Linked DNA regions of Kluyveromyces lactis. The protein of the gene in region 2 interacts with the protein of the main gene of each other region in a pairwise test. Links are inferred from orthologs where the notes say so. Each region holds a gene or a part of one and is shown on either strand. Other genes may lie near its edges.

Region 1 (5,245 bases), about 1.1 Mb from region 2:
AATATTAATGAATATGTATTCACTGCGGAAACGGAGATAAAATCGGCACAAAAGGTGCTAGATCTTACTACCAAACGGCTGACAAGCGCTATTTCATCGGGTCTTTCTCAAGAGATTAAGAGAACACTTCTTAGGTTGAAAAAACGCTCAGAAAAGAACTTGGAACAAGCTTACACGAGTTTAGAATCTCTTAGGAAACTCCAAGATGAAATATCCAATGCTTCACAAAATGTGGTTATGATTAATCTTTTAAAACAAGGCAGTACCGCTTTGAAGGCTATCAATTCACAACTTTTAGATGAAGATTCTATTTCAAACATATTAGATGATTTCCAAGAAAATACAGAGAAGCAAGACCGTATTCATAATTTGTTAGTAGGAGAGTCGGTTTCCGACAATGATGCTCTTGAAGAAGAATTGTCACTGTTAGAGAAGGAGCTATCAACAGAGGATACAAAAGAGAAGGAGAAAAAGAAGATCGAAGAACAAAAATCTGCAGCACCTTTGGAATCTGGCTCAACAGAAGATTTGATAAAGAAACTTGGATCCTTGAGGGTATCGAGCAGGGACTCTCCTCGTGCAGAGAAGACGGAAGTGAAGGAACCGAAAAAGGAAGAGATGACCGAGAAACTGTTGGCCTAATTCTTCCGATAAGAGTGATTGCTCATATTTGGTATTAATATGTATATTTAATTCGTTCATGCATACATATGATATTTAACATAAAGGCGATTCATAAATCAGGTGTGCTATCTGCTGTTGTCGTCTGAGACATGGCCGTAATGTATAGAAGATGGAGAGACAGCTCTTGAGGGTATCGATGCATCAGAGTGTACCAGACGAGGGGAAGATAAGGGAGAAACATATCTAGATGAAGCTTGAGATGTTAATGCTTCAGCAGGTTCAGGAATATTTTGATCAACAACCGTTGATTTACCGTACCACCAGGACGTCACGTTCTGATACATTTTCCCAAGCAAACCTGGTCCTTCTACATCTGCAATCTTACGAGAATATGTATGCTTTTCCAAAGGCTTCAAGATTAATGCAGATCTTGGAGTAAGCTCCAGAGCTTTCAAAGATAGTAATTCTTGTGATTCTGTGAAAGTTTCACGTGGAATACTTCGATGGAACTGGTACGGACCATCCTTATCTGTCCTATTGGCATCCACCCAAGTCCTTACATCGTTTAAAGTTTGAGACGAATCGAAATCGTTTTTCAATGTCTTACCGTCTGTTAATCTTATAAGCAAGGTGCACACTGCTGCGTTTATTATATCTCTGTTTTTAATATTATCGTGAATGGGTACAGCCAATACTTCATTGATGTGTTCCTTAGTATGATTTGGAGATGATGACGATAATCTTCGTTGCTTCATTTCTTCACGGTCCGCTTTCATCAATCTAACAATACGTTCTCTTTCCTGTTGTTCTGTCAACTGGTGCTTCTTGGCCTTTATTTGGTACTCCATCAATTTCGCATTTTGTGACAGACAGCTACCGGACCTGGCGCCGGTATCACCAGCGGCACCAACGGTATTGGATGCATCAACGGCATCCGTTTCAGAGATTCTCCTCTTGCTTTTACCAACTGCCCGGATCAACCTAGTAGCAAATCCGTCCATGTCCAACTGATCTGGATTTATCATCTCCACTATTTGTCCCTTAGCAATACAATAAACGCTAGGAACCTTCACATCCGGGAATATTTGCTCAAAGTAACCCATTTCCCTGCTTCCAGCAGCTAAACGTAACCAAACGCACGAATCCTTCAACTGCTCCCCTACAAGTGGTGTAAACCACGACTCAAACCACGAATTATCTCCGCCCGTAGTATAAACCAATAACGCCTTGTTCTCTCGCAATGATTCTTGTACCGCATTTTCCACAGAGGAAACAAAATGCGTATCCAGTGTATCCATCGTATTCATATTTGCCTAATCTTACACTTACCACTCCTAAAAAGCTCACCACTGCTTCGTTGCTTCTATCAACAGTATCGGATTTGTTTATTGTTCACTGATTAAACTATAAACGTAGTAAAACCCCTTTCAATGTACGTTTTTATAAATGCAAAGAAATGACAGAAACTAATGACTATCGCAGATCTGATCAGAAAAGAAAAACAATAGTTTTATGATGATACTTATGGGGAAAACGGGATTTATATACGAGTCTCCGACGTGTTATCCTAGGTAAATCACTTGGGGTTCAGTTAGGACGGTTGGATGATATTTTGAGCACATCAGTTGCGTAAATATTGAATGTGCGTTTGGCTGATATAGCTGGAGATTTCTGAGATACGAACCGACAAGAACAAAAAAGAAGTAAAAGAAGAACACTTCGATTGATGTATTGATGAGCTTTTCACAGATAGCTCAGCTCCCTCATATTGATGGATTACAACTAGGAAGAACAATTGGGAAGGGCTCCTTTGCCTTTGTGAAGAGAGCTAGTTTAGAAGTTGATCCGTCCACTGTAATTGCTGTCAAATTCATACATCTTCCTTCATGTGAGAAACAAGGTATGAGTCAGGAAGATGTGTTGAGGGAAGTTAAGTTACATTCTAGATGCTCTAATTTTGTTAATGTGCTAAAGGTTATAGATTGCAATCTTTCTGATCCGTTTCTTTGGATAGCCATGGAACTGGCTGAAGGTGGTGATCTTTTCGATAAAATCGAACCTGACATTGGAGTCGACTCGGAAGTCGCCCAATTCTATTATAAACAACTTATAAAAGCTATAAGTTATCTGCATGATACCTGTGGTGTTGCCCATAGGGATATCAAGCCGGAAAATATCCTATTGGATAAAGATGGGAATTTAAAACTTGCAGATTTTGGGCTAGCATCGCTGTTCAAGAGAAAAGATGGATCAAAACGTATTTCTAGAGATCAACGAGGAAGTCTTCCCTACATGGCACCGGAAATAATATACTGTGATGGGTACTATGCTGATATGACAGATATTTGGTCCATTGGTGTTCTATTATTCGTTTTGTTGACTGGAGAAACGCCTTGGGAACTTCCTCACGAGGACGATGAAACGTTTAGAAACTTTATTAAAGGCGAAGGAAAGCTAGATCAGGGATCTTGGCTGAAGATAGATTTCGTTGAATTGAATCTCTTGAGAAAAATATTACAACCAGATCCAGAGAAAAGAGCTTCTTTGGATACTTTACGGAAACATACATGGTATCAAACAAATCCGAAATTTGCAGATGAAAATGGCCTTTGTAAAAATCCTTCTTTGCTTGCAGAAAAATTACTATCAAAGCTTAAAGTTTCTCTATCAGATGCCGATTATTTATCTTCTACGCAGGAAGTGTTTGCCAATCAACATGCAAAGATGTCGTTCACCCAACCTCTCAATCGTGAGCTTGCACATATAGATAGTTTACCGGCTAATTTGCGAAACGGCTACTCTGCCACTCAAAAGGTTACATGCAGCACGAATTTTTCAAGTGAAAGGGAATTAATGACGCAGGAGCCATTTTCAACCAAGAGAATCCAAGAAGATCTCGCTTCCTTGCAGTTTAATATTAATGATATGAAGCTAATGCCTAACTTTTCATCTGACAGGCTAACTAAATTTTTCTCTACTGATGATATTAGTGTAATCCTCTCAGACCTAGAGAATGCTTTGGTTGCATATGGTGTTAGAGTGAGTAGAAATCTTCACGATAATTTCTTGGAACTGAAACGGCAGATCGGAGAGAGTAACCCCTATCCTGTGTCTATACAGCTCAAAACATATGATAGAAATAAGCTCCCACTTTCAGGATCTCTAGTCATCATGCAGTTGGAAGGTGATCTGAAATCCGTTACTTTTGAAAGGAAACGGGGTGACCCGTTAGAATGGAGACGCTTTTTCAAAAGAATAACTGTATTCTGTAGAGATATTGTTTACGTAAATTGATCATTCCGAGAAATATTTTTGTTATGGATAGGAAAAATCTGACTGCAACATGTCCTTAATCTTCTAAGTTTAACATAAAATTATACATTACCTTTCTCAAAAGCTTCTTATCGTTGTTGCTTAAAGACTTCACATCATCAATATCGACATCATTTAAACTTGAAACAATTCGCATAATTTTTTTTGTATGATGCTGTCCTTCACAATTTGCACTTGCAACATCACCAGCTGAGTTCATCAGTTCTAAAGACCGCTTCCCTGATATATAGGTATCGCCTTTCGAAGCAAGATCCTCTTCGAGTTTGATAACATCAGTAAAGAAAGGATTAAAAATTGGTATCTTCAGAGGCAGCCCAGATGGGGAGTTAACGCTTGTCACTGTATCAAGGTTCTTAGATATCTCATCATTATTTGCAACACCTGGCAGACATTCGCTGACTTCAGTGCTGCTATCTTTAATAGAAGGCGTTTGTTTTTCCATTTCCCCTGATGAAACTTGTGACACTGCATTCTGCGTTGTTTCTGCTTCAAGCTTTTCGGATTGTACACTAGCAGCCATTTTTACTGGTTCATTGTCATTAGAATTTTGTATAGGCTCAACGACTTTTTGGCACCCCGTTCGAATTAGCTCATCTGAAGTTTCCGAAAGTGTTTGCAGCGGAACTTCAAGCTCTTCGGAGGAAGTTACCTTAGTTTCGATAACAGATAATGTAGATAAAGGAAAAATATTTGTATTATCTTGCTGTTCATTATGTTGCAGCGTCTCACGATCTGATACCTTTTTATTTTCCTTTGGAGGGATGAATTTGTATTGTCGAGTCGAGTTTCTTTTTGCATTGGCTTTGAACACATTAAGCTTTTTCAACAGAGTCTTATTACCTTGTATCTTGAAATCAGGATGATTTAAAAAGAGCACTATTAGTGAAGTTCCATATTGTTTTTCCTTCGCAGACTTCATGATATTAACTACATATTTCATAATATCAGTGAGAATTTTTGGATTGCTTCCAACGAAGTAGTCCACAATAGCAGGAAAGATTCCTTTCAATCTTTCTTTGTCATCAGCTGATAATTGTTGCTTTATATCAAATATGAAACTGAGTAACTCCTCCGTTATTATATCAAATACCTGATATTTTGTCTGTTTTAATAGCTGCTCCATTAAATCGATAACGTAAGAGGGATTTAGATTCTTAAAACTATCCCTGAGGAAATCGATAAGATCCGAATTGAGTTTGCCACTTTCATTTATCATCCGAGCAATTGTGTTTGGTTTTATATTTTCGAACTTTATCTTTCCAGCTGTCAAGAAGTCAACAATTTTGTC
Region 2 (5,919 bases):
TCTGCTACATCGGACTGCTTAATTGGTGACTCCATCAATTTAAAGAACTCTTTGATTTCTTTGAGATTGTTTGATAAATTGGACTCCCATTTTTTCAGAATAATATCCAAATACGGATTAACTGACGATATTTTCGAGAATTGTTTGTCACCCATTCATGCCAATATTTTGTCCAAAAATTCTGATTCTTTGGTAATTGATTTGTTGGTCTCAGTTAATGCTTCTATCAAAAATATTGCATCGTTATTTTACTACACCAATGAGACGGGATATTATGAAGAAATTAAGTTTGATTACTCAAAAACCTCGTTGTTCCAAATTCAGGGTTATTTCTTCAATTTCCTTTGCATTTTAAAATTCATATTAGACTTTGAAGCCACTCCAAATTTCAAGGTGTTGAGTATATTTGCGGAGTTACGGAAACTGGTAGAGCAGTTAATGATTCCGAAACTTGTCCATAATTACCCTCTGGAGTTTTCAAAATTCACTGACTTAAAGACGGCATATGATGGACCTTCTCCACAGGCTCCAGCTGTCCATACGTTCAGTCTTGAACATTTGGAAAAGAGCATCGAATCAGTTTTAGTACAATCATTCAATGACTATAACTATTTGAAAATGCCAGTTGGTCCTGTCAATTCGTTGAATGAATTCGAATTTGATTCAGGCTACGCTGAACCAGCTCCAGGACCCAGCAAGTCATCAATAAACTTACTAAGGCACCACGATCTATGTAAACAGAATGGTGCTAGAACAAGACAGGGATTTTATGACCGTTATCATCTATCAGACAAATTGTTACAGGTTGCCAAATGCTCTTTCCTCTTGATATATGAATCACATGTACATGGTTCATTATTGACAAATTTCATTGACATAATTAACACTCTTCAGTCAAAATTAGACAATCAACGCAAAATTACGAATATTATTTTCAATGAAGGAACCCATCTCTTTGGAAGCAACAATAATCCTGTCAACGATCACACTCATTCTTTTGTTAACATGCTGAATTTGCCAAACTCAAACACTCCTCCTGGAGATTACTACTTCAATCCGAATTCCCTATGACTACCGTAATATTTAATTAAACAGCTTTTTGATGTATGAGATCTCACGAAATGACCAAAAAAAATTCCTATAGTATACTATTTATAAATAATTGAACAGTATTTGTTAATCCCGAGAATATAATGTAACTCTTATTTATTCTACTTTCTATCAGTCGGGTCAATTATTGTACTCTTACTGTGATACACTTTTATTACGCCTCTTCATTAATTACGGTCTGAACCAGCCATTCCTTATTTTTGATCCTAAAATCATTTATACCCTCCATCAGGAACCTTTTAGAAATGCTATTTTCCCAGTCGGATGAGTTCTGCAAAGACGTCTCGTTGATGAAAAGTATCATCTTCTTACTGTGGTAATTATGCCGAAATTCTACAAGTTGGTCGAACAGATCATCGTCCAACTCTTGCTGTGGTTTCAACTTCAAGTTTTTCGTGTATTCCCAATGACCAACTTTAAACACCTGGAAAATGAAGTCCACGAAAAAATTCATATCGGAGTCTCCTAAAATCAATATCGAGTAATCTTCCAAAACTACTCTGGCATTGTTTAGTTGTGCATCTAAAGTCAAACTGCTATTGAAGTTTGTCAGGAAACTAAAAACATTGCTTGATTTGATAATACCTAGATTGAAGTCAGCCATCAACCTGTTACTTTCTCCGCTCGGCAAAAGATTTTGTAGTATCGTTTGAGTCGAGATATAACCTTTGTTTATGCATGACTCAATAAACCTCCAATGTAGTACAGGCCATCCCAAAGCCAATGCTTCTAAATACTTCGGACTTCTTGAAAAGTTTCCCGCAATAAGACAACCAAAACGGTAACTGTTAAAACGTGGATTGTTCCAACTAAACTCTCTTGATCTGTCTTCATATCTTAACAGACTTTCAAACCCTACGCTGGAGACATATCCTCCTTGTATCTCGATTAGATAAGATAACCTTTTTCTATCCATATCATTAAGTCCACTCAATACAAAGATGCACTTTTCGAAAACAGAACCTCCCTGTCCTTCTAATCCACTCATTATAGTAGTATCATAGAAAGTGTCTCTGAAAATCTCTGAAGTTGACTTGTTATAATCTTGAGCGGTTTTCTTCATAGGAGAAATAGAATCCCTCACTGATCGACTTCTAACAGAACGTCTCAATTCATCCAAAGGATCATTGTCTTCATCTTCCAGTTTTATTTTGGTTCGTTTGATCCACTCCCCGGTGGTAACGTATATGGATGCAATGGTATCTACAATATCATTCTTGCTGAGTCTTCCGTTTCTCAGTACCTTTCTTAAATGCACCGTATCATATCCTCTAATGCATCGAATGACATCTTCTTTTTGTGGGATCTGGCAATCTAAAGCTACGACTTGATATTCATTCATCTTCCAGTGGACTTTATCTCCACATCTAATATCTAAATAGTAAATGTCTTCCACCCTAACATCATTTTGACGTTTCTCGAAAAGAACGGAGCAATACCCAGGCTTCGTACGCTGTTCGGAAAGTATCTTACCAGGATAAAAATTGCAATCATTAAAATAATACCAGACCGCATTATTGAATAAAACATCTTTTTTAGTCAACTGCATTTCATCTGATATACGAAGTTCTTTCGGCAGGTAGACACCTTCAGTGAAAGCTGTAAATTGTGTCATTTTACTTGGTGTACTACTATCTTCAAATTCTTCTTCTAATATTAGCTGCTTGTTTTTCCGTTTCTTGGATACATTAAGTTGTTCTTGTGACTCAAATGACGGTTTGTGCTTGCACTCATTGCGTTCGAAAATTTCAGGTAGTTCCTGAGTTTGTTCATATTCCTGATCTGTATCCAGTCTCGAGAGCTCTCTTGAGACATCATTCGTAGGATTATGTTCATTGTGTTTACGTTGGTTCAAATCGGTAGCATCATTCCGGACACCCCCAATTTGTTCATCCTCGTCGGATATCTGACTGGATGGTTTGACATAATATGTGAGTTTAAACTTCATTTCACTCGAGTTTTCATCTGTTTGTTCCTTCTGAGAAGATTCATTGTTCATCTCAATAGACGAGTGACATTTGGCTACTTCCTGATCTTCTTTTTCTTCTTCTCTTTCTTCTTCACTAAATACTGTTGAAGGTGATTTATTGGAGGCCTGCTGCATGGGTCGGAGATTAACGACCGCTGGAGAATGAACCAACTGGATTTCTTCGTTGAAATTAGAACCTGTTTCCTTTTGTGTCAATATAGTTCTGGTAGAAGGAAGAAGACTGTGATGAAATGAGCCAAAATTGATTGGAGATGTATGCACTATTGATGTCTCTTGAAGTGCAGACTGTTCATCTAGTTTCAATAAGCTCTCTGAGACATCGAGGTTATTAGACTGAGTTCTAATTAGCTGAGTCATCTTTTCATCGGCCAATGTAGACCTGATTTCTTGTGTTTGACTTACATTAGCTGAATTCGTTGCAGGTACTAACATTTCATTAGATGTTTGAGTTACATTTTGAGTGTCAATATCACCCAAGATATTACCATTATCTGCATCCTTCAGTGTCATTATAAATGGTTGTGGATGCCCCTCTGGGGACGAGTTGATATTTTCAATCAAGCTGATCGGTTCTGAAGCTGCCTTCACTTCACCTTTAGCATTCCTAAGTGAGCGAATCGATATCTTATTCTTTAATGGCGTGTCTAATAATTCAGGTTGATATGTGTCATTGTTATTCAAAAGAATACCTTTAGTTTGAGTCAAATCAAACGGTAATTCCACTTCGATATTCAAGTCTTTCTCCTGAAATCGTTGCAATACATCAGTCTTTGATTGGATATCAATTCTTCGTCTAATCTCGAGATCTCGATTTCCCTCAGGTGTGTCTTCTAACAGGGATTTATTCGTTGGATTTAAATTGAGAGCAGTATTACCCAAAGCCTTTATAGCCTTGTTAATTCCCGTGAGCGTTCGGGTGCTTGTATTTTCTTTTAACACTATTTCATCTGAGGAAGTAGACTCTATCTTGTTCGATAGCTGTTTTCGATCTGGACTGTAATTGGGAGTCTCTTTGGTAATACCACTGTCTTCTTCGTCTCCTGTCATACCATATGAAACAGCAGATACTGATATTGATGGTTCAGAATGAAGTGATATTTTGGCTCCGTATTTTTATCGAATGTTTAATAACTTTTGTTAGTTGTGCGTTACATACTGTAAACTTTCTTGTTTTGGTTTATGATTTTCTGTCAATATTACATTTGTAGTTGTTAAAGACTAAGACATTAAAGAGTCAACTGTGCGATGTGTGAGTTTTATTATTATGTATCCATAGCCGGTCGCATCTCTTCAGGGTATTAGTATATGAGTTGCTAGTATAGCACTGGTTGCAGGTTTGCTATTCTAGGAATTGATTTTCGGTTCTTCTAAGGAAAAGTATGATATTTTCTATCGATGGGTGTCAGACACACATGAAGTGAACCTTTTAGAATGCATTTTTTGGTTGTTGGCACAAACGATATATACCAACACAAGAGGTGTAGCTTTTATGATCCTCGCCTTAAGCAAGCATAATTTTGCTTCTCGTGATTAGCACCCTTTAGTCGGCAACAATAACTGTGATATCATGACCGACAAAAATTCGAAATGTAATGGTAAGTGACATTATTAAATGAAAGCTAACAATGATAACGATTGAATGGTAAATACTAACTCTAATGTCATCTACTATTAGGTTCATATGTTGATGTTCTACTTTGTTTTGAGTCGTTATTGGAAAAATGTCTCAAGACGCTTGAAGCCAAGCAACTAATCAAAGATTCAACGGAAGTATGGGACGACTTTGTGGATATCATACTCTCGTTCATTCCCTTAAATCTTGTGAAAGAACGATTCCAAAATGGTAATATTAGCAAACAGCGTATCATTTCTATAATGCAGGGTATTCTTGATCACAATCCCGATATTGATTTTACAGTGGATGCAAATTATATGTCGGATAATCTATGTGCTAGATATGCAGATGATCATTTTGTTCTTAGATGGAAGACAAACATTATCATCAACTTCAGAATTATTCAAGCATTCTTCGAGCTTCTAGATGAAGAATATGGGACCGCTTTTTTCTCTTTCCGCTGGATTCTACAGTTCATTTCAGTCTCTAAAAATAAGCGTCACAGTGAGAAGCGATCAGACCTTTCCTCGTCTCGGATAACATGGATAATTCGACAAACTTCACTTTATCTGGCAAAATGTTTGAATTTAGATTTTAATCAAGGGAAAAGGGTAAAATACGTGTCCTTCAATTCGGTTAGGGTGAATCGTTTGGACATGTTCAAAGGCATATTATACACAATATTGGAAAATTCAAGCAGTGTAATATCTGCACAACAGGACATCCAGAATAAGCATATGACTGCGGAGTATTTCAAGATATGTGCAGAAATCTATGAATTTATTGCGCTACTCGATGGGAAAGTATTAGACTATGAGCACGCACATGATGTTAAGACTACTGTGATAATACCGCAAACAGTTTTTTCCACTTATATGATCCGTCATTACATGCTAGCTGCAGTTCATTTCCCATTCGATGACCCTAAAAGGCTTGTATGTTTCCACAAAATATTGATGGGTTTATTTTTTGTGAATAAAGTTGACTTAGCTACTTTCAACTACTTCTATGGTGAGTTCTACCAGTGTGCAAAATCCATAAATGAACAGCACTTTGTCACTGATTATGCTAATTTTTCGCTTTCTGGTACCTTTGTGAATATAATTGAGTCAGTTGCACAGAATCATCAACATCTCAAGCTTTTACCAAGTGTCCTAATCCGGTTGTCTACCAATGAAGTAATAGTCGACTCTGAATTCGATCC

Evidence for each region.
Region 1: the proteins of RAD9 (region 2) and CHK1 interact in a two-hybrid assay, tested with the Saccharomyces cerevisiae proteins (3 studies listed by BioGRID). The link is inferred for Kluyveromyces lactis from reciprocal best matches to the Saccharomyces cerevisiae genes RAD9 and CHK1.

Annotation. Positions count from the first base shown.
Region 1 is NC_006042.1:118,674-123,918, reverse strand, and holds CHK1 (serine/threonine protein kinase CHK1), read left to right. Parts: upstream 1-2,358; coding exon 2,359-3,918; downstream 3,919-5,245. Other genes in the region: phosphatidic acid-binding protein CHM7, read left to right, coding at 1-642; KLLA0_F01298g (UBX domain-containing protein), read right to left, coding at 750-1,931; DNA-binding protein RIF1, read right to left, coding at 3,974-5,245. UniProt on the Saccharomyces cerevisiae protein: Serine/threonine-protein kinase which is required for checkpoint-mediated cell cycle arrest and activation of DNA repair in response to the presence of DNA damage or unreplicated DNA.
Region 2 is NC_006042.1:1,204,422-1,210,340, forward strand, and holds RAD9 (chromatin-binding protein RAD9), read right to left. Parts: upstream 4,148-5,919; coding exon 1,265-4,147; downstream 1-1,264. Other genes in the region: DNA-binding transcription factor ADR1, read left to right, coding at 1-1,071; ADY4 (Ady4p), read left to right, coding at 4,976-5,919. UniProt on the Saccharomyces cerevisiae protein: Essential for cell cycle arrest at the G2 stage following DNA damage by X-irradiation or inactivation of DNA ligase.